Cricetulus griseus: one gene and its partners. The protein of the gene in region 3 interacts with the protein of the main gene of each other region in a pairwise test. Links are inferred from orthologs where the notes say so. Each region holds a gene or a part of one and is shown on either strand. Other genes may lie near its edges. The genes, in order: Copz1, Copz2 and Copg1.

What was found.
Region 1: the proteins of Copg1 (region 3) and Copz1 interact in a two-hybrid assay, tested with the Homo sapiens proteins (2 studies listed by BioGRID). The link is inferred for Cricetulus griseus from reciprocal best matches to the Homo sapiens genes COPG1 and COPZ1.
Region 2: the proteins of Copg1 (region 3) and Copz2 interact in a two-hybrid assay, tested with the Homo sapiens proteins (2 studies listed by BioGRID). The link is inferred for Cricetulus griseus from reciprocal best matches to the Homo sapiens genes COPG1 and COPZ2.

The regions. Positions count from the first base shown.
Region 1 is NC_048595.1:399,664,271-399,671,668, forward strand, and holds part of Copz1 (coatomer subunit zeta-1), read left to right. Parts: intron 1-3,523; coding exon 3,524-3,592; intron 3,593-5,268; coding exon 5,269-5,350; intron 5,351-5,939; coding exon 5,940-6,031; intron 6,032-7,398. UniProt on the Homo sapiens protein: The coatomer is a cytosolic protein complex that binds to dilysine motifs and reversibly associates with Golgi non-clathrin-coated vesicles, which further mediate biosynthetic protein transport from the ER, via the Golgi up to the trans Golgi network.
Region 2 is NC_048600.1:110,000,185-110,008,158, reverse strand, and holds the start of Copz2 (coatomer subunit zeta-2), read right to left. Parts: upstream 5,403-7,974; coding exon 5,283-5,402; intron 2,105-5,282; coding exon 2,023-2,104; intron 1,493-2,022; coding exon 1,401-1,492; intron 972-1,400; coding exon 916-971; intron 110-915; coding exon 32-109; intron 1-31. UniProt on the Homo sapiens protein: The coatomer is a cytosolic protein complex that binds to dilysine motifs and reversibly associates with Golgi non-clathrin-coated vesicles, which further mediate biosynthetic protein transport from the ER, via the Golgi up to the trans Golgi network.
Region 3 is NC_048601.1:55,400,643-55,408,040, reverse strand, and holds part of Copg1 (coatomer subunit gamma-1), read left to right. Parts: coding exon 1-49; intron 50-923; coding exon 924-999; intron 1,000-1,611; coding exon 1,612-1,715; intron 1,716-2,490; coding exon 2,491-2,616; intron 2,617-2,884; coding exon 2,885-2,953; intron 2,954-4,923; coding exon 4,924-5,066; intron 5,067-5,326; coding exon 5,327-5,498; intron 5,499-6,086; coding exon 6,087-6,184; intron 6,185-7,195; coding exon 7,196-7,334; intron 7,335-7,398. UniProt on the Homo sapiens protein: The coatomer is a cytosolic protein complex that binds to dilysine motifs and reversibly associates with Golgi non-clathrin-coated vesicles, which further mediate biosynthetic protein transport from the ER, via the Golgi up to the trans Golgi network.

The DNA of each region.
Region 1 (7,398 bases), on a different chromosome or scaffold from region 3:
TTTGCAAATCTGAAATGATCAGATCTTTGTCCTGCCTTCCCTCCATTCCCAGAACCTTAGTGCCTGAAAGCTGGTCTCTCCTCCTGTCTTTTTTCCTGCCTAAGAAGACTCTGTTGTTTCTGTTTTGAGGTTTCTTTGATCTTATCTTTTAGGAAGCCAGTGAATAGAGCCAAGAGCAGAACTCTGAGCTGTTTCTCGGTTGTCAGCATGGCTGTTTAGGTGCTTAGACAGTGTTGCCCACAAGAATGTTGGCTCTCCTACTTGGCAGGTGGCCATTAGGGATTTTGGCCTGTGCTGGGGTGGGGGTGTGTGCTCCCATTTCTTCCTGGAATGCCAGAATCTGGCTGTAAGAACAGTCACAAATGCCAGATTAAGGTCCAGTTTCAATTTGTGGGCAGCAAGCCCTCTAAGGTTGCCGTGAGTGTGGATGGAGGGGCATAACCATTTCCTTCTCTTGGCATGTTTTGTCCATTAAGGAAACTCATTCCCATTGAGGGCTGGATTTTGGTACTTGAGCAGCCAAGTTACTATAGAACAGAGCCTGCTGTGTGTGGTGATCTTTCTGTGTGGAGCTAGGACTTAGAAGAACAACTTCTGTTTGTGGCTTTTTAGACTAGACTCAGAAGACTTCCCTCTGCCAGACAGCACAGTTCCCCGGCTGCAGAGGAGGTGCTCCTGTCCATTGTTCTGGAGAGCAGTGTGTCTGGGGTGTTTTTTTGTTTTTGTTTTTTTTTTAAATATTTATTTATTTATTATGTATACAGTATTCTGTCTGCATGTATCCCTGCAGACCAGATCTCATTACAGATGGTTATGAGCCACCATGTGGTTGCTGGGAATTGTACTCAGGACCTCTGGAAGAGCAGCCAGTGCTCTTAACCTCTGAGCCATCTCTTCAGCTCCCTGGGGTGGGCAGTTTTAAGTGTGTCAGAGGAGAGGGTGGGTTGGTGATAATATCACTCCAAAATGGTCTCACTACAAAATCCACTTAGCTGTAAAAATCCAGTTCTAGTACACTGTCACAAGAGATTTCTTTTTAAACTTTATTCTCAATTTTGAACAAATATTGAGAGTTCAGAATGAATGTTCAGATTTCTTAGGTCATTTTCTTTTTTAAGACAGGGTTTTTCTGTGTAACAGCCCTGGCTGTCCTGAAACTCTGTAGAGCAGGCTGGCCTCAGACTCAGAGATCTGCCTCCCAAGTTCTGGGACTAAAGGTGTGCGCCACCGTTGCCTGGCTTTTATTGAATTTTCTTTTTCTTCTTTTATTTTTCAGTGCATTGGTGTTTTGCTTGCATGTGTCTGTGTGAGTATGTCAGATCCGGTGGAACTGGATTACAGGCAGTTGTTAGCTGCCGAGTGGATGCTGGGAATTGAACCCAGGTCTTCTGGAAGAGCAGTCAATGTTCTTAACTGCTTGAGCCATCGCTCCAGCCCTCTTATCCCATTTTCAAAAGACTGGGTTAGTGATCTGGAGAGAGAGGTCAGCAGTTAAGAGTACTGGCTTCTGCTGGGCAGAGGTAGCACCTATCTTTAATCACAGCAATTCAGAGGCAGAGACAGGTGGATCTCTGAGTTTGAGATCAGTCTGATCTACATAGAGAGTACCAGAACAGCTGGGACTACACAGAGAAACAGCACACTGGCTTTTAAACTGGGTGGTATAGTGGTGTGCACCTTTAATTCCAACACTAGGGAGGCAAAAGCAGGTGGATCTCTGTGAGTTTAAGGACAGCCTGGTCTAGAGTTTCAGGACAGCCAGAGCTACATAGTGAGACACTGTCTCAAAAAAAAATAATAAAATAAAAAAATTGTTGGCTTCTCTAATATGGAACTGGGTTTCAATTCATAGCACCCACATGGCATCTGTAATCCTACTTTTAGGGATGTCCTCTTCTGACCTCCAAGGGCACCAACCGTATAAATAGTGCACAAGCATACATGTAGACAAAACAGCCATGCACATCAAATAATAATATAAGTGATGGCATTTAGGAGGCAGAGGCAGATGGATCTTGTGAGTTTTCGGCCAGCCTGAACTACATATTGAGAGACCCTATCTCAAATAATAAATGAATAAATAAATAAATGAAGGTTAGAGAAACCTGGGTTAGGATCTCTGTGAGTTCGAGACCAGCCTGGTTTATATGAGCTAGTAGCTCCAGGACAGCCTCCAAAGCCACAGAGAAACCCTGTCTTGAAAACTAAAAAAAAAAAAAAAAGAAAAAAAGAAGAAGAGGAGGAGAAAAACCTTGGTTAATCCCCATTTCTCTTGAGCTAGGGTTGCTTTTCTACATGGAGCCCCACCCCTCCCCTCCTGGAGCCTCACTTTACCTCTATAGGGTTGCAATTTCTGGATCCTTGCAGTGATTCTTTCTTTTGCCTTGTGTCTTTGTTAAACACATGTTTAGAAGATGGGTGAGTTTCCTAAGACCAGAAAAGCAAAGCAGACAGTCTTGCCTTGGCACAAGAAGTAGCAGAAAGTATTTATTGGTGAGGTCATCAAATAATGTGAGCGACAGAGGCCTTCTGTACACAATGCCAGCTCTTCTCACTTTTCGCTTCTGAAAGTTATGAGGATAGAGGAGAGAACACCAGACTTAGTAAAACAGCTTTTCCTAAGTCATCTGTTTTCAGTTGAGGAAAGGTGTTAAGTATAACTGTCAGAGCTGAGGCTGTAGTGCCTCTGCTCCAATGTCAGCAATTCTGTTTCATTCTGGGATTTTGTTCTGCTTATAGGGGAATGGCTGGGGATTAAACTAAGTGCCCCATGCACGCTAAACGTGCACTGTAACACCCCTAAGCCTTAGTTCCATTCTTTATAGTGAAAGAAAACTCCCCTCCTGTTATCTACCTCCTGGACCCTAGGCTTCTCAAATATTTTCTTTTTACCACACTTAAGATTCAGGTTGATTTTTATTCTAGCAGACTAAGTGATAATGGTTCCTATATAGCAGAGGAAGAGTTTCATTCGTGAATTTTTGGTTGGTGTCTATTTCGGGGAACTGGTGTGTGTATGTGTGCACATGCGTTCACATGTGTGTACACAGTGCTTTTCTTCTGCTGTGTTTGGATGGTTTAGAGTGGCTTGCTTTAAGCCTCTGTTTTGGGACGGCAGTGACTTCTAAGTGCACAACCTTCTTTCATATGAGTAGCGCTCATTCATTAACATGGTCACATTCCATGCTCACCTGTGTCCAGGAGGCCAGGGAGGATGGGTGATTTGGAAAATGACTGGCCGTAGGACCTGGAAATAACAGTGTGACCTACCTTGATGGAGGCCTGTGAGTCAGACTGTTTTCTCTGAGTCTGCTTTGGAGCCCTCCCTCAGTTCAGTTCATCCTCCACTTGGTCATCCTCAGGGGGAGGTATTAGGCCTGACCATGCTGCAGTAGGGGACACACACAGACCCCTGTGTGACCCTTTGTAGCCCAGTGGGACCATGGAAGGAAGGAAGGAAGGTATTAGGCTTGCTAGTAGTGGTGGAGCCCTCAAAACTGAAGGTGTGTTCATGTTTCTTCAGGAGCCCTCCCTGTACACTGTCAAGGCCATCCTGATTCTGGACAATGATGGAGATCGACTCTTTGCTAAGGTGAGATTTCCTTTCTTATTAATTTAGGAGCAGGACAGAGACATTGGAGATTTAAGTGTTGGGATTGGCCCTACTAACTCAAATTCTTCAGGAGTATGATGATTTTGAGAGTTCTTCCACTTACCTTGCCCACTCCAGATAAATCCAATCTTCTGTCCCTTAGAGTGCTTTCTTCCTGCTGTGCTCAGACCTTTAGCTTCCTCTGTCACCCTATTCAGAGCAGGGAAGAACTTTAGAACCTTAGCTCCAAAACAAAACACTGTCTCAATGTTAGAAATGCCTGTCTATGTCTGTCCCATCTGTCCTGACTGTCCCATCTGCCCCTTCTCCTTTTGCCCCCTCCTCTTACCTTGTCACTCAGCCTGAGTTTGTCCAGGGAGTCTTCCAGTTTCTTACTTGTAGCCCTAGGTTTGTAGTCCTCACCATGCTGCATGCCCCATGAGGTGTTGTAACTTTGGATGCATTGAGCAGAGAAAGGACACCCCTCTCTTCTGTTCTCCCCCCCTGTAGAAATGTCTTCTGTCCCTGGTGTATTAACTCTGGGCGAGCAGAGCATAAATCAATCAGCAGGTGGAGATTAGTTAGAATTCACCAGCTGTTCCTCCCTGTAATTGGATGTAACTATGCAGGACACCTTTGGAAACAGTTATCCAGTTACTAAATGCCAGACCTGTCATAGGTCTTCAGCTGACTGCAACGGATTAGCCCCTAAAGAGCAGGCGCTTTAGCAGCCTGCATCTCCAGCCCCTTGCTAGGAGTGCTTGGGAGTGGGCTCAGTGCTCGACTGCCCCCTTCTCTCAGCAGGCAGAAAGAGCCAAGATGTGCAGGAGAACAGGGCATGGACTTACCTTGCTGTGAAAGAGATTTGTATGGCCTTTCTCCACTGCTCAGTAAAAGATTGGTCTTCCAGCCAGTGGGTGGTGGCCCACACCTTTAATCCTAGCATTTGGACACTCAAGAGGCAGAGGCTGGCAGATCTCTGAGTTCAAGGCCCTTAGGGCCTACAAAGCAAGTTCCAGGACAGCTAGAGCTACACAGGGAAATCCTGTCTTGAAAAACAACGCCCCCCCCCCCCAGGACTGGTCTTCCTCTAGTGAGGGAGAGTCTGAGGAAACATCCCTGCATTTAGTTTGGTTATTTCTCCAGCGCTGACCCTGACAAGGGCAGCTCCCAGGAAGCATGTGGTGGAGTCTCCTTAGGAGAGCTGGCAGGTGTCTGCCCTGAGTCTTAGAAATGACACGTGGGACTGTAGGATTGATGATAGCACAGTCCTTTCCTTTCCTTTCCTTTTTTTTTTTTTTTCTTTTTTCTCAGATTTATTGTGTGTGCTTCTTATAGAAGGCCAGAGAACAACTTTTGGAAGTTGGCTCTCTCCTTCTACCTTGTGGGTTCTGGAGATCAAACTCTGGTTGTGAGGCTTGGCAGCAAGCACTTTTTTCTTTCCCTTCTTTTCTTCCTTTTTCCTTTTTTTCCCCTCCCTCTCTCCCTCCCTCCCTCCTTCCCTCCCTCCCTTCCTGCCATTCCCTGCCTCTGTAGTCCTTTCTTGCCTATCTTAGTATTCCTCTCCCACCCCATGCCTTGAAGGAGAGACATACAAGATGCCAGAGTAGAACAGTCACTAATCATCTGGTCTCACAGCTATGATGACCCAACCCTGTCTCCTTTTCCTCCACTAGTACTATGACGACACCTACCCTAGTGTCAAGGAGCAAAAGGCCTTTGAGAAGAACATTTTCAACAAGACCCATCGGACAGATAGTAGGTCATTCTCCTTCACTATTCCCTGTGTTGGGGGGAACTATGGGAAGAGAGTGTCAGCAGGACTGCAGAAAAAGATAAAATGACTCGGCCTCCTCTTTCTTTTTTCCTCCTCCCCTCATATAATAAACTCTTCAGAAATGTAATGGGGAGGTGAGTGTACCTCACGCGGGAATACTGTGCTAGAAGCTTGGCTGTTAGCTACCTGTCTAGTCCCAGGATTTATGAGCCTCACTTGACAAATTTAACTGCAGCCCTGCTTATTGTACCGCATCCATTAGGGCAGGTAAATGGAAGCCTGTAAAGGTGACCGCTCTGCATTTTTACGTCCGAAGGATCGCTGGTATCCTGCCTCATACATAGGGAGGGAAGTAGGTGCAATGGGGGAGGGAGGGCTAGAGAACATCCATTTAAACTCCCTGAGTTTCTGTGTCCCTTCCGCTAACCCTAAACAATAAGATAGCTTCAGGGCTTGCAGGTTATTGCAGTTGGCCTTTCTTTAGCCCACGCAGCTGTCCCCAGGAATTCTCAGGGACTCCTGTTTTGTCTCCTCTTCTCCCACCATTCAGTATCTGCTTTCTTCCCCAAGGTGAAATTGCCCTGTTGGAAGGGCTGACAGTGGTCTATAAAAGTAGCATCGATCTCTATTTCTATGTGATTGGCAGCTCCTATGAAAACGAGGTGAGAATCTCTGCCCATTTGCTACCTCTGATGTCACTTCTGAAGCCATGGATGGGACACAGCCAGCCATTGGTTTTGAGCTTTGGAGAGCCACATTCCTCTGATATCTGGCAAGGTCATAAAGAAGTCGGTTAGAGATCCCTGTCAGTCTTACAGAATGGCCTAGCCAAAGAATCAGTCAAAGAGGAAGTTTTCCCAGGTCTTTTTTTTTTTAAGGGGCAGGATCTTACTGTTAACATAGGCTGTTTTCAGATCACATCTATTTTCCAGGTGCTGGAATTACAGGCCTGAGTCACCAAATCCAATTAGAATGTTTTTAGTGTCCTTTACTACACAGTGTTGTTGTAAATTTTGTTTGTTTGGTTTTGAGACAAGTGTCACACTGAAGCTCAGACTGGCTTCAAACTCACAGCAGTCCTCTTGTCTTAGCCTCTCCGAGGCTGAGATTACAGGTGTGAGCCAGTACACCAAGTTCCCACAGTGTTGTTAAGAGGGACTTGTGAGTGTAGTCCTGTTTGTTTCAGGTGGCAGCAACTTCTGGGAGAGTAGACAGGTAAATAAGCCACCAGATTATTTCCCATCACAGTTAAGAGTTTGAGAGACCAGATCCCACTGAGCTCTCACTGCTACGCATGTCTGTGAAGTACATTGTTTAAGCTTGGCAGCACTTCTGTGGGTTGGAGGTATTACTGTTTTTGTTTTGCCAACAAGGAAACGAAACTATAAAGAACCATATAAAATTACTTGTATTTGGCTTTTGTCAAATTACAAAAGTAGCTGTTTCATGAGATTCGGCCCATTTTCTCTCTCAGGATAACACATGTAGAATCAGCAGAGATTTAAACCTAGTTCTGACTCAAGAGCCCAAGCTGGGGCTGGAAATTAAGCTTAATAGTGAAGTGTATGCTTAGCAAATTTGAAGCCTTGGCTTTGATCCCTAATACCATTTTTAAAAAGGGCCTCGGTGGGGGGTGGGGGGGCTGGAGAAATGGCTCAACAGTGAAGAGCGCTGGCTGCTCTTCCAGAGGTTCTGAGTTCAATTCCCAGCAACCACATGGTGGTTCGTAACCATCTATACTAGGATCTAATGCCCTCTTCTGGCATGCAGGTATACATATAGAGCAGCACTCATACATAAAATATGAATAAATAAACAAATTTTTAAAAAGGACCTTCTGCCACTTTCCTCTAGCCTCAGCTTTTGCTTGGTTAATGATGTCTGTCTTTACTAATCCATCAGGTAGCTTGGTAAAGACAGAAATAGGGGCTGAAGATGGCTCAGCTGTTAAGAGCACTGGCTGTTCTTCCAGAGGACTTGGTTTGATTCCCATGTGGCTCACAACTGTCTATGACTCCAATCCCAGGAG
Region 2 (7,974 bases), on a different chromosome or scaffold from region 3:
TCAACATCCCTCCTCTCTATCCCCTCCTCACCCGCCATCTACAATTTCATCCAGCACCAAGAAGGCTCCATCCATGTTCTCCAGCAACCAGCGTTTCTCCACGTTCTTCCTGTGGGCAGACACAAGCACCTGAGCCTTCGGGGCGGCCAAAAGGAACCATGACTCCTCTAAGTGAGGCAGCGCCTCTCTTCCCAATACCCCCTTCCCAACAAGGCCTAGGCAGGAGAACGCAAGGCAGTGGGAGCAGATCCGATGCCAGGGACTCCTGAGCACAGAGCAGGCTGGGTCATCCTAGGTTGGTTTGCCCAGTTTGTCAACCTTCCTAATGCTGTGACCCTTATATACAGTTCCTCATGTTGTAGTGACCCCCAACCATAACATTATTTTGTTATTACTTGTTAACTATAATTTTGCTACTGTTATGAATCATAATGTCAATGTCCGATATGCAGGATACATGCGACCCCTGTGAACGACCCTTTCACAGGGGTCATGACCGACACAATGTTGCTGGTGTAGGTATTAGTACTGATTGGGGATGCAGGGAAAACCAACTCTGAGCTTAAAGTTAAAAACACTGTTTATATGGGGCATGGTGGTACACACCTGTAATTCCAGCACTGGGGGACTGAGTGGGAAGCCAACGTGGGCTGTGTAACAAGACCTTCCTTTTCCTCTCTCCCTGCTCTCCCTTTATTTGGAACTTGTGTTGATTTGCGTACTGTGACCTCAGGCAACTCAGTGTCTTGAGATTTGATATCTGATCATAACTTGGGCATGGCTCTACTTGGGGCTTCATAGAAGTCAGGGGAGTTGCAGAGATTCCAGGAGGACCACAGGGCAGAAGAGCCTTGCCTCTGGGACAAAGGGAAAGGCCTGGGGCTGGGGCCTTGGAGTGCAGAAGGTCTCACTTACCTTAAGATGTGGCTGAGAGAGTCAAACAGGCAGGCAAGAACAGACATGAGCATCAGCTGAGGAGGAGGGTGTGGGAGGAGGAAGAAAAGTGAGCTGAAGCTGAGAGGCCCAAAGCAGGCCTCTGAGCTCCTGTGTGGGCCAGGTGGGAGCACTCCCTTGTCAGAGAGAGCTTGGTTGGAGGCTAGCAGCACTTCCTAAGGTTTGGGCTGGGGGGCACTGGAGTGCTCCCCTGGAGGATACACTGTGTGTCTCCTTTTCTAAATATGCTTAGGAAGAACTAACAACTCCCTACAGAAGGTGTGATGATTTCATTTCTGGTTCCCAAGGGACCTAAGGGCCATTATGGGTGTGTACAATTACAGAGAGACCTATTCTGGCTGCCCTTCCACCCCCAGATGCTAAAGGAAGGATAGCAACAGTGAGCATCCAGAACCCACCTCCACCCCAGGACAGACTCTCCTTGTCATCCAACCTCCTAAATTTACCTCATTCTCAGAGGAAGAGCCCACCACATACAGGAGGAGGTCAATGCTGCTCTTGTAGACAATGGTCATGCCCCCCAAAAATGCGATCTCACCTAGAAACAGGAAGGCTTTCAAATCAGTCTATCTCCGCCCCAGACTGGGGCTAGCCTGGTCTCTACTCCCCATGGCTCTTTGTTTCCTATTTCCTTTCCCAAGGAAGTCTTAGTCAGACCACCACTACTGGGAGGCTGCTCTGTGTCCTTGGGCCCATCCCAAGTGCTTTGTATTTAGAGGGCCCCCTCTTGAGGAGTCAACAAACCCAGCCTGCGGCTGAACTCCCACCGACCCTCCATCCCATGCAATGCCCTGGGACCAGATCCAAGTGTGTGTAGGGGCACACAGCACAGTTGGCCTCCTCAACAGAGAGGAGGGGTAGGGACGAGAGTGATGGGGAGTGAAGGTCCCAGGATGAATGAAAGAAGGGAGTGGAAAGCAGCTGGGGAGGAGAAGACAAAGAGCCTCAGAGAAGGGATGGCCCGTGGGTGTGGAAGGCCAACAAGGACAGATGTGCCCAGATGGGGAAGATGACAGACAGTGGTGGCCAGTCATCCCAGAGGCTCAGTGGAGGAGGGGCAGGCATTACTTTCGGCTCGGCTGGTCTTGTTGAAGACATTTTTCTCGAAAGCCATCTGCTCCTTCATGGAGGGAAACGTGTCATCGTAATACTGTGAGAAAGAGAAGAAGGCCGATAGGCGTTGTACAGAGCCAGCTCCAGCCTTGGGAGGGGACTAGCAAGCAGGGAATGCTGGGGCTGGCTGAGCTGCCTCCTCGTCACCTCCCTCCAGGCCCTGCCCGCTTCCAGGTCCCCATAAACAAATTCCAAGCAAAGAAAATCAAAGTAGGGAGATACTGGGGCTGCCTTTGGAGTCTTCATCTGGTTTTCTCCCTCTCTCCCTTCCCTCCTCCCTCTCTCTCTCTCTCCCTCCTCCCTTTTCTTCCTTCCTCCTGTATTTCCTTCCTTCCAGCAGTGCTGGGTTCTAAACCAGGACTTCACATGTGACTAGATAAGTATTCTACCCCTGAGCTGCATCCCAGCTTGTTTTCTCTTTCCCAATCCTCCCTCCCTCCCTCCCTCCCTCCTTCCTTCCTTCCTTCCTTCCTCCCTCCCTCCCTCCCTTCCTCCCTTCCCTCCTTTTCTCAGGTCTAGGGATGGAACCCAGGGTCTTATGCATGATAGACAAGTAAGTACTTTGCTGCTAACCTAAATTCTTAGGCCTCTGTCTCAATTCTTTTATTTTATTTCTGAAATAGAGTCTCACTATGCCATCTGGCTGGCCTGCTATATGTAGACCAGGCTAGCCCAATTTCTTTCTTTCTTTTTAAATGTTTGGTTTTTTGGGGGAGGGGTGTTGTTTTTGTTTTTTGTTTTTTCTGTTTTGTTTTTATTTATTTATTTATTTTTGAGACAAGTTTCCTCTGTGTAGTCCTGGCTGTCCTGGAACTGGCTCTGTAGACCAGGTTGGCCTTGAACTCACTCTGCCTCCTGAGTGTTGGGTTAAAGGCATGTGCTACCCCTGCCCAACTCATCCTCAATTTTTCTGTTTGTTTGTTTTTGTTTTTTCAGACAGGGTTTCTCTTTGTAGTCTTGGTTGTCCTGGAGCTCACTCTGTTGACCAGGCTGACCTCCAACTCAAGGGGTCTGCCTGCCTATGCCTCCTGAGTGCTGGAATTAAAGGTTTGCCCTACCACCACCCAGCCACCCTCAATTTCTTAACATATAACAAGGATAGGCTGGGCAGTGGTGCCACATGCCTTTAGTCCTGACACTCTGGGAGGCAGAGGCAGAGGCAGGTAGATCTCTGTGAGTTTGAGACCAGCCTGGTCTACAGAGTGAGTCCCAGGATAGGACCTTCTAGGAGGCCCCAGAGGCTTTGGTAATGCCGATCCACCCCTGCTCATCTGCTAAAGCACTGTGTGACCAGCTCAATTTTTTAAATGTGAATTTTCGGTAGTTAATTCTGCAGCTAAGTTAGCAGATTCTCTGCTGGGTCCTACCATTGTGAACAAACTCATTTGAATGTTACGAAAACTAAGTTTCAACTCCAACAAATAAAATCATAACCCATATCTAATTTAGATGTTATAGCTGGATGTGGTGGCATATGCCTGGAATCCCAACACTTGGGAGGAAGAAAGAGGAAGATCAAGAGTTCTGGGCCAGCCTTCTTACATGAGACCCTGTCTCAAAAGGAAAAAAAAGGTATGGTTCACACAAACAGTCTCAGCATTTGGGAGGCTGAGGCAGGATCATTGTGACTTCCAGGCTAGCCTGGGCTACACAGTAAGTTCCAAACCATCCTTGATTATAGACTGAGTTCCTGTTTCAAAAAACAAAACAAGCAAACAAAAATATCTAGGAGGATAGTTGTGGTGGTGCCCTTTAACCCCAGCAAATCTCTGAGTTTGAGGCTAGCTTGGTCAGTGGAGTGAGTTCTAGGACAGCCAGAGCTACACAGGGAAACCCTGTCTTAAAAATCAGACAAACAGGGCTGGAGAGATGGCTCAGAGGTGAAGAGCGCCGACTGCTCTTCCAGAGGTCCTGAGTTCAATTCCCAGAAACCACATGGTGGCTCACAACCATCCGTTATGAGATCTGGTGCCCTCTTCTGGTGTGCAGATATACATGGAAGCAGAATGTTGTATACATAATAAATAAAATCTTTAAAAAAAATCAGACAAACAAAAAAGTTAGGGTGTGGTGTTATATGCTTGCCTATGGTCTCAGCCCTCAAGAAGAGGCAGGAGAAGTAAGACAAGTTTAATGCCAACCTGGTCCACAACAAAACAAAAAAATGATATATTTCTGCTACAGTTAATTGTATCAGTGGCAGGAATATTATTTAGTGATTGTTTTGGGTTTTTGTTGTTGTTGTTGTTTCCCGAGACAGGGTTTCCTTGTGTAACTTTGGAGCCTGTCCTGGAACTTGCTCTGCAGACCAGGCTGGTCCCAGACTCACAGAGATCCCCCGGAGTGCTGGGATTAAAGACATGTGCCACACTGCCTGGCTTTCAGTGGCAGAAGTTTTAGGGTTTTTTTTTTTTTCTTTTCCTTTTCTTAATCAGTGTGTGTGTGTTTGTGTGTGTGTGTGTGTGTGTGTGTGTGTGTGTGTGTGTGTGTGTGTGTGTGTGTTGTAGGGGCAAGTATGGAAATCAAAGGACAACCTGAGGGAATTTGTTCTTCCCTAGTGAATTCAGGATCCAACTCAAGCTGTCAGGAGTTGTGGCAAGCACCCTTCCTGAACCACCTGGCCTACCTGAGACTTAGCTTCAAATGTAGTTTTACTCATCTCAGCCAAGCCGTGTAGGATGGATGCCAGACAACTGAAAGTGAGTTCCATGAAAACCACCCGAAGCCTCCAATCCAAGCCCCAAGTCTGGGTATCAGTTATGGCACTAACCCTGTGCTTCTCTGCTCTTCATTTTCTGCATCTGTGAAGTTAGAGAGTGGGACAACACTGCCTCCCAAAGTCCACCTAATTCTAAATACGCTGGAATACAGAAGCACACGGGTCCCTTGTCTACAGTTTAGGGATTTGGGCTCCTAGGTCCCAGCTCGGATCTCCACTGATCCCTTTGGTGGAGCTTCCCAAGCCTGGTCAGAGCAAGGACAAGGAGAAGACATGTCAGAAAACATGAGTAGAAACAGAGGGAATGGCCCCCTTTCTCCGCGCCATCAGACTGATAAGGCATAGCATGGACAGAGTGACTTCTAGAGAATCTAGGCTGGGCTGCTCTGCCATCCAGAAAGCAGAGTTTCTCCTACAGGAGATAAATGGGCTGGGTGGGGACCGTTTGTCTTGGACATGTGGCACTGCTTTCAGGGTGTCTGTGGTGAGGGTTTACCTTAGCCAGCAGCCTTCGCCCGTCATTATCTAGGATGAAGACAGCCTTGATGGTGTAGAGAGAAGGTTCCTGAAACTGACACAGGAAAGACACCCCTGACTCAAAGTGGACCCATATCATGGGCTCTATGGAGTCTGCTATCCCCCAATCCAGAGCTGGGTCCAGCCCAACCCTGTGCCACATGGACTATTTCCGGTGCCCACTCTACTACTCCCAGGCAGATGTTCCACTGCAGGTCCGAGGAGTGGGCTCTGTGCCCGCTGGGTGCAGAAAGTCCTACCGGGCCCAAGTTCTGTCATGCACTGACTGCTCCAGAGCCCGAGTCGGAGTGTATCACAGAACCTGGGCCCGGGGAACAGCGGCGCCGAGCCTCCTTGTGTCCAGCTGACCCCAAGCTCCAGAAGCGCGGCCATCACCCTGGAGCAAGGGAGCCCAACCAGACCACCGCGCCACTCCCACTCCTCCCTCGTCCGTCCCGCTAGACTCTCACCCCCACTCCCGCCACCGCAGTCAGTCCCTGTAACTGCTGGTGAGCTCCCCCAGAACTTCAGCCCCGCGACACTCCACTCGGGCCAGGCCTCCTCGCCCGTGCGCTCCGGGACCAACTTTTTTCTCCCCTCCTTGGGCCCGGGCTCGCTCTCCGGGGCTAGGCAGTGGTGGCACAAAGTTCCCAGCCCGGGAGCCCGAGGCAAGTCGGCTGCCCCCCACCCCAATCCTGCAGCCCCGGGACCCAGCGCTCTACGCTCCGTACCCTCAGTTCCGTGGCTCGGGTGGGCGGCGCTGCGCCCCCGGCTTGGGCGGCCGAGGCCCCCTCCCCCGGGTGCGGACGTGGCCAGGCCTCCGGCCGCTGCATTCCGCTCGCTGCCTGCACTGACAGCGCCGCCCCGCCCCGCGCCCGTCCCCCGCGGCGCCGCCCCTCCGCCCAGTACTGCGTGGCTGGCCTGTGAGTCTCCCCTCTCTCTGAGCCAGCTTCCCGCCCGACCCCCACTCCGCAGAACCGCCTCTCCCCACCTGGCTTCTTTCTCATTCTTCTTCCTGGGCCCCTCTCTGTGCCCACAAGTTTCTCGGGTAACCCAAAGCCCCTCTTCCCTCTTCCTGCCTCTTCTGGCCCTGGGGTCTGCCACTTTGGTTCATAGAGGTGTCCACGTGGCTGTCCAGGGCCAGCCTGAATCATAGGCGAGGCTTACTTTTTTCTCAGGACTCCTAGGTGTTATTGGGACAAATATTTTAAGACACCTTTTTGGATCTCAGGACAAAGCCGATCAGAAAGATAGGTGGCAACCCCTTCCATGGAGAAGAGTTCTCCTCTCATACTCCTTGGGGGAAAAATACAAAACAAAACAAACATGGGCTTAGGAACACCTCCCCCAGGCATTTTTCAATATGCAGAGGAGGAAAAGGCGGGTAGTTCAAGCCCATAATCCAGCCTGAGCCTGCAGACTATCCTGGCCAGAGTGCAATCACACACGGTGAAGTATTTAATGGTGCCTGGCCAACCATTCAGAACACTGATGGTGTGTGCCTTTTACACTGAACATTCTCATTGTCTGTCAAAAGCCATGCCTGGGAAGGAGGCGTTTTCAGACATCGTGTGACTTTTTCAAGTTGGTTGGGCTAATAGGTGGGAGAGTTCCCAGGCTTCGGAAAGAAGTTTCCCCCATTTTGTCCTTGAGGGCCGCAGAGTGGAGTGTCACAATCACTCATCTCAGATGGTCCACACGAGGCTTCCTTCCACTGAACACATCAAGCCTTTCTCTTCCCAACTTTCACCTTTTTTTTTTTTTTTTGAAAGTTACACTATCTATCTAATTTATTTAGTTATTCAGTGTTCCACAGCACTCATGTGGCGGTCAGAGGACAACTTATAGGAGTCAGTTCTCTCCTACTTTCTGGGTCTTGAGGAATGGAATTAGGCTGTTAGCCTTCACCCACTGAGGCATCTTATTGGCCTGAAAGCTTCTTCTTAAATATCCTCATCAAAGGGGCTGGAGAAATGGATCAATAATTAAAAAGTATTTGCTGCTCTTGCACAATACCCAAGTTCAGTCTCCACTCTCACATCACATGGCTGTCAACCACCTGTAACTCAGGTTCCAGAGGATCTGGCATCCTCTTCTGGCTTCCACAGGCATTACATACATGTGGTGCACATACAGACAAGGAGGCACACACAAAAATGAATAAATAAATAAATAAATAAATAAATATATTTTCCTGGGTATGGTGGTACTTGTCTTTAATCCCAGAATTTGGGAGGCAGAAGCCCGGCCTCAAGTCAGTTTTTTAAAGTTATAAGAATTTCTCGCCAGGAGATGGTGGCACACTCCTTTAATCCCAGCACTTGGGAGGCAGAGGCAGGTGCATCTCTGTGTGTTCAAGGTCAGCCTGGTCTACAGAGCTAGTTCCACAACAGCCAGAGCTACACAGGGAAACCCTGTCTCATAACCCAAATGCTCCCCACAAAACAAAACAAAAAATTCTTAAAGAAAGAAAGATTCTGCTGGGGGTGGGGTCACACCTTTTATTCCAGCACTTGGGAGGCAAAGGCAGGCAGATCTCTGAGTTCAGGGCCAGCCTGGTCTACAGAGTGAGTTCTAGAACAGCCAGGGCTACACAGAGAAACCCTGTCTTGAAAAAAAAAAAACAAAAAAGAAAGAAAGATCGAAAGCCAGGCATGATGGCTTATATCTAT
Region 3 (7,398 bases):
CGCTTCATCTACAACCGTGTGGTCCTGGAGCATGAAGAGGTTCGGGCAGGTAGGTCTGAGCTGGGGTGATCCTGGGCGCTTAGCTTTTTTGCGGTGAATTTGCCAGTAAAAGGACCCAAACCCCCAGGGGCATGACCTCATGAGCTGTTTTTTATATTGTCAGAAAGACTTTATATGTCATGCATCTGGATAAATGATTTTCTACAATTTAATTTTTTTTAAAGGTTTCCTGTTTCGTGCTTAGAGGGTTTTTTTTGCCTTTTTTTATTTTATTTTATTTTTGAGATAGGGTATTGTTATATGGCCAGGCTGGCTCGTACTCGAAACCCTCCCGCTTCAGTCTTCTGTATGCTGGAATCACAAGTATGCACCACCATACCTAGGGTTTTTTGTTTTGTTTTGTTTTTAAACTTGAGATATAACACACACATAAAATTTACCTTTTTATATAAACAGTGATCTGGCAGTCTACCATCTTGTTCTTAATTTCATCTTATTTTCCATTTCCTACTTCTGTGCATCCTTAAGAAGATTTTCTTCTTTTGGCAGCTGGTGTTCACTATGTGATGGTTTATTTTCTCATATGCTGTACTCTCAGGCCTATTTACATACACACGAAGCTGTTCTGAGGTGAATAGCCTGACAGTGTTGATAGTGTCTGTGGCCTTGATCATTTGAAGGTAGCCCGTAGAGCCCTAGAACAGAAGCTACTGGTCTTCCCTTTTCTCCAATAACAGGAAGAAGTAGTTGAGGCCTGGGTAGCACCAGGATCCACCAGGATTGCACAAGAGTTGTTCTAGGATCGTATTGGTGCCACCCACTACCTCTTCTGCATGAATTCTCTGAGCACTAGTGGGCACCCTCAGCTCTCTGGCAGGTGGGACTGAGGAGCTGTTGGTGAATCATATTTACCTTGGAACTAGGTGCAGTGAGTGCTCTGGCCAAGTTTGGAGCCCAGAATGAAGAGATGTTACCTAGCATCTTGGTATTGCTGAAAAGGTGAGTCTGGGTGCAGAAGCCAGAGAGCATAACAGTGTCCCCTTGGTCCAGTCCACTGCTTTGTCCTTCCAAAGAATTTTTTTCTTTCTTTTTTTTTGGGGGGGGGGCAGGGTTTCTCTATGTAGCCCTGGCTATCTTGGAACTTGCCATGTAGACCAGGCTGGCCTCAAACTCACTGAGATCTACCTGCCTCTGCCTCCTAAGTGCTGGAATTAAAGGTGTGTACCACCATGCCCAGCAAAGATTTAATTATTTTTATCTCATTTGTGTGAGTTTTTGCCTGTGTGTATATCTGTGCACTGTGTGTGTGGTGCCTAGTACCTGCTGAGTCCAGAAGAGGGTGTAAGTATGTCTCCTATGAGCTCAAGGGAACCTCTGTGTATTTTGTGACATTTGGTTTGTCTTCTTTCCTGGGTGAGTTCTTTATTAGGGAGCTGTCTTCCACTCAGCTGACCAGCCCCTTGTATTTTATGCTGTCCATTTTAGAGCCTCCACTCTTGGCAGCTGAGCCTTAAGAGCTCTGCATCGCCCTGCCACCCCCATACAGCCCTACAGGGTCCCTTTGACACACTTGCTACACTCAGTCAGGGTTACCTTGTGTCCTGACCACAGGTGTGTGATGGATGACGACAATGAAGTGAGAGATAGAGCTACCTTCTATCTGAACGTTCTGGAGCAGAAGCAGAAGGCCCTCAATGCAGGTTATATACTAAATGGTGAGTCTTCTTGCCTGCCCAGGACCCAGCCCCCTCTTGGAGCCTTTAGACCTTCCTGCGGCCTTAGAGCAGGTGTGGTGTCCCTGACCCAAGACATCCAAGACCATACATGTTTCTCTGGACTTGTGTAGCAAACTCTTGGATTGATGTGATTTCAGAAGTGCCAGAGTCACATGGCTTGAACTTATGTCAGTGGCAATAGCCAAATAAATTGAAGTACTCCTTATGTGTTACTCTGGCTTGAACCCAGCTTACACATGCTTGGCAAGTCTCTACCATCATGTTGTATCCTCAGTCCAAAGCATTTGTTGTTGTTTTGAGATAGTATATCATTATATAGCTTAGGTTGGCCTGGAATTTTATGACAGTCTTCTTGGCTCAATGTCCAGAGTACAAAACACTCATTAATAAAAATGTTTAAGTCTGGTGTGATGGCTTTTGCTTTTATCCCAGAACTCCAGGGAGACTGAGGCTGAAGGATAGGAAGCTCCAAGTCAGCCTCAGCTACAAAGCAAAATGACATTTCAAATAAAAAAAAACAGTAATTAAAATGGAAACTTTTGTTGCCTTAGTAATTTTTCGAGTCACTTTGTATTTACCTACCCACCAACCCTCTGGGAAGGAGGATGAAGAGTAAGGCTCAGAGGTTCCATGGTTTTCTCAGCATCAGCACATCTAGTCTTCATAGTGGGGGACCCAGGCTTCTGTCCTCCCTAGGTGCATCATGTCTGTCTGTCATGCCTGCCAGGCAGAATGACCTCTCCACTGGCTTTAGGTCTGACCGTGTCTATCCCTGGTCTGGAAAGAGCCCTGCAGCAGTATACACTGGAACCATCAGAAAAGCCATTTGACCTCAAGTCTGTGCCTCTGGCCACCACCCCTGTGGCAGAACAGAGACCAGGTAAGGTCCTGCTCATCCCCAAGGCCCATGTGTCACCCTTGGCTGCAGAGTGGACCAGGATGGGTGGGTGTGCTGAAACGAGGGAGTAGCCTTTGCCACCTCTTGCTTCAGGCAGTGGAGATAGCCATGCTGATAAACTGCTGTTTTCCTTTCATGTTTCTCTCTTGGGAGAGCTGGCATTTAGAATGTCTAAGGAATAACATGGGTTCAGCAGCAGCATGCTGCTGTGACTGGAGCTGTGGGTCACCAGCTGTACTTGCTCTTGTAGAAAGCACCGCCACCGCAACAGTCAAACAGCCAGAGAAAGTGGCCGCCACTCGACAGGAGATCTTCCAGGGTGAGTATTGGTCAGTATGGTCAGAGTGACTTCAGAGCCTGCCAGCTACTGCTCATGTGGGACCTGGTCTCCACCTCTGATTGGATTCAGAACTTCAGAGGATGTATGTGCCTCCGTGGTAGAGTGCCCACTTAGCCTGCTGGAGACCCTGCCTTTCAGCCTAGCACAAAGACTTTTTAAAGAGAGTGGGAACTTTATTGGTTCCGGGGCTCTGGGTGATTGAGTGTACTGGGGCTTCATTCATGTTGGACTCTGAGTGCTTGTAGCCTGGCTGCCAGGATGTGTGATGGAGTGTAGCTAGAGTTCAGAGACACTGATGCTGTGTTTTTGATTCCTTATGTGTTCAGTCCATGTTGCCTTATAGACTAGTTTTGAAACTGAGAGACTGTTGTCAACTCGCTCAGCCCACCTCCAAACCTCTTGTCCTGTATCTCTTCAGTATTGCTGCAGTAGCACTTCCTGAAGCCTTGTGATGCACGTAGCTGACCAGTGACTACCAGGGAGAAATCTTGCCTTATAGAAGGGAAGAGATCAGAGTCTGAAGCTGTTAGAGGTGGTCACCTTTCTCAGACACCTGGCATGTGCCTCTTCAGCTTATGAGGAATACCAGAATTAGCCTGGCAGAGTCTTGGTAGCTTTGGGCCAGGAACAGGCCATGTTGCATAGTGGGAGTCTTACCTACAGGACAAAAAAAGTTTTATTTATTAACTTATTTATTTATTTATTTATTTGTGCTGGGATTGAACCTAGGGCCTCAAGCATGCTGGGTATACGTGTTCCAGTACTGAACTGTAGCCCTTGTTATCTTTGCTATGTTGAGACAGCATCTTTTTTTTTTTTTTTTTTTTTTTTTTTTTTTTTTTTTTTTTGGTTTTTCGAGTCAGGGTTTCTCTGTGGCTTTGGAGGCTGTCCTGGAACTAGCTCTTGTAAACCATTCTGGTCTCGAACTCACAGAGATTCACACCTGCCTGCCTGCCTCTGCCTCTGCCTCTGCCTCTGCCTCTGCCTCTGCCTCTGCCTCTGCCTCTGCCTCTGCCTCCCGAGTGCTGGGATTAAAGGCGTGCACTGCCAACGCCCGTCAAGACAGCATCTTAATGAGGTACATAGGCTAGCCTTGATTTCACTCTGTCCACGAGGCAGACCTTGAATTGGATCCTCCTGCTTTGACCTCCTGAGTAACCGGGGTTACAAGCCTGTGCTGCCATGTCTGGTGTTTCTGTAACATTCTGAAGTAGCTTATCATTAGCCATAACAGCACTCACTGTGATCTCAAGACTCAGCAAGCTGAGGCTGGAGGATCACAAAGTTGAAGCTAGCCTGGGCTACAGAGTTAGACCCTCCAAAGAAGTAGCTAATCGCTGGCCATATGCCTTAACTGGCCATTGCATAGGGTGGATTTGTCTTTCACTGAATTTGTAACTTCAACAGTACGCACCTCAATTCGTAGTCTTTTCCCTTTAAGAATCGTTGCCGAGGCTGGAGTGATGGCTCAGCAGTTAAGTGCACATGCTGTTCTTACAGAGGACCCAAGTTCAGTTCCTGACACCCATGTCAAGTGGCTAACAGCTGTCCCCTTCAATCTTAAGGGGGGGGGAGGGAGAGAGGGAGGGAGGGACGGAGGGACGGAGGGAGAGAGAGAGAACCATTGATGAACTAACGGTAAGGATTTTCAGGTGGATTAGGCTGGGGCTTGGGGTCCCGTACTGGGTGAATTGCTGCAGAGGTCTTATCTTCCTGGAGGGTTATACAACTTGAAGCAGGCAGAGCTGAGGAATGGGCAAGTGTGCCGAGGAGGAGTGAGCAGCCAGTTGGACACGCGCCTGGAACTAGCTCTTCTTTCCTGGGTGAACTTCCCTCCTGAGGAACTTTTCCTGAGGAACTTCCCTCTCAGGGATGGTATGAGGCCTGGGGGTTCAACACAAACTGGTGTGAGATCCAGAAACCAAGTTAATGTCATCTGTGGATTTCAGAGCAGTTAGCAGCGGTGCCTGAGTTCCAGGGGCTAGGGCCCCTCTTCAAGTCCTCACCTGAGCCAGTGGCCCTCACTGAGTCAGAGACTGAGTATGTCATCCGATGCACCAAACACACCTTCTCTGACCACTTGGTGTTTCAGGTAAGCATGATAACCTGAGATCCTGCTGGTGCCTGTGCCTAGGAGCAGTCCCAGATCTGATGGGTCCTGTAGGGTTGACCATTGAGTTGGTTGGGGGCACCGCTTGATGACTGTACCTGTCACCAGCAGGTATGTCTCATCCCTCTTTGCCCAGGACTTCTCTAGCCTGTGAATGCCAACCAGGCAGAGGGCTGGGAATGGGGGGTGTATCCTGGCTCTTCCCGTATAGCAACAACTAAGCCCTACTCCTCCTTATCCAGTTTGACTGCACAAACACCCTCAATGACCAGACCCTGGAGAATGTCACAGTGCAGATGGAGCCCACTGAGGCATATGAAGTGCTCTCCTATGTACCTGCCCGGAGCTTGCCCTACAACCAGCCTGGGACCTGTTACACGTTGGTGGCTCTGCCCAAGGAAGATCCTACAACTGGTGAGCTCTCTGTAGATACCACCCAGGCTCTGTGGGAGTCTGTACATCAAGGATGGCACAAAAATTCCTTGATTCAAACATGAGAATTGTTCAGGCCCGAGTTCTTTTCATATATTATCTTATTTCATTCTCATAGCAACTCTGTGAGGGTAAGTTCTGCCTATTCTTGCTCATAGATGAGGAAACTGAGGCTTAAGTTAGGTGGGTTTATTAACTTAGAATCAAAGCCTGTCTGATCTTCAAATGGGTTAGTACTCTTTCATTATAGCACACTACCTCTCAAAGACAGGCACAAACACCCAAACATCTCAAATTTATTTCTCCAGTGATATTACCAGCTTTTTTTTTTTTTCCATCATGGACAGTGGCCTGCAGCTGAGGCATGGTCTTAGCCACTCTGCATTGTCTCTGTTTCTTTGGTCTTTTCTTTGGACCTGTGACTTGACATTCCTGTCCTATGAGGTGGTGCCTTTGTCCAGCATGCTGGGGCTGATGGCATAGTGGCTGTTACTAATGCAGCCTGAAGGGCAGGACATGTCCACCTGACTGTGAAGGAGCTTGTCTTCATCCAGCCCTTCTTCCCCACAGTGGCATGCACATTCAGCTGTGTGATGAAGTTCACCGTTAAGGACTGTGACCCAAACACTGGAGAGATTGATGAAGAAGGCTATGAGGATGAATATGTGGTAAGAGGACAGTGTCAGGGACTGAGGACATGAACTGTCTATAACTTCAGTTACGGGCTCTGATGGCTTCTGGCCTTGGCAAGCACCGCATGACTGTGGCACATAGTACATATATATCCATACACGTGTACAGATTTTTACGATTTTTTTTTTTTTTTTTTTTCTGAGACAGGGTTTCTCTGTGTAGCTTTGGGAGCCTGTCCTGGAACTTGCTCTGTAGACCAGGCTGGCCTCAGAGATCCACCTGCCTCCGCCTCCCATGCTGGGATTAAAGGTGTGCACTACCATACCACCTCCTGGCTTTTTACATGCATTTCTGATAATTTTCTTAGGATAAATTCCTAATTGGCTCAAAAAGAAAGCATGAAGACTTTAGTCACTGTAGTTGAATTGCTTTCTACGTAAATTGGGCCCCTGTGCTCTGCTGGGCCGCAGAGTCTCGTAGTCAATAGAATACATCTGCATTCACCCTTGTGTATTGTAACAATCGTAGTAGAGAAGAGCCATTTCTCAGCCAAAATGACTGAGGTGAGAACTGCCTTAAGACTTGTCCCCTGGGGAGCTGCAGCTGAGGTAGTCCTTTCACTGTAGTAGTGGCTGTGTGTTCGATAAACACCCGCAAGAACAGATTTCTCTGAAGATCTGTTGGAGGAAAGAAGAAAGAGCCTTGGTGTGGACACAGTTCAAGCTGGCTGAATGGGAGTATTAAATGTCAAGTCAGCTGAGATGACAATAGGGTCCAGCCTATGTTGGGCCTCGAGGGCACAGCTAACGTACAGAATCTGCTGAAGAATTGGCTGCTGCCTGTTGAAGGAGGGCCACTCTCACTGAGTTGCCTTGGGATGGGTCCCAAGGTAACTTTTTCTGTGTCCTTAAGCCCACCCTGTCCCCACACTGGCAGATAGATATCTGCAGGAAAGAAGGGATAAGTAGATGAGTTCAGAGCAGAGGCCTAGAAGTGCAGAGCAGGAAGTCTTTCCTGAAGTCTGACTTCTATCTGCGTTTCTCCAGCTGGAGGATCTAGAAGTTACTGTGGCTGATCACATCCAGAAAGTCATGAAAGTGAACTTTGAAGCAGCCTGGGATGAGGTGGGGGATGAGTTTGAGAAGGAGGAAACATTTACCCTGTCTACCATCAAGACACTTGAAGGTAAAATGCTGGTCATACTATCTCTGATCTGGCTGCTTTTCAGAACCCTCAGCTATTATACTAC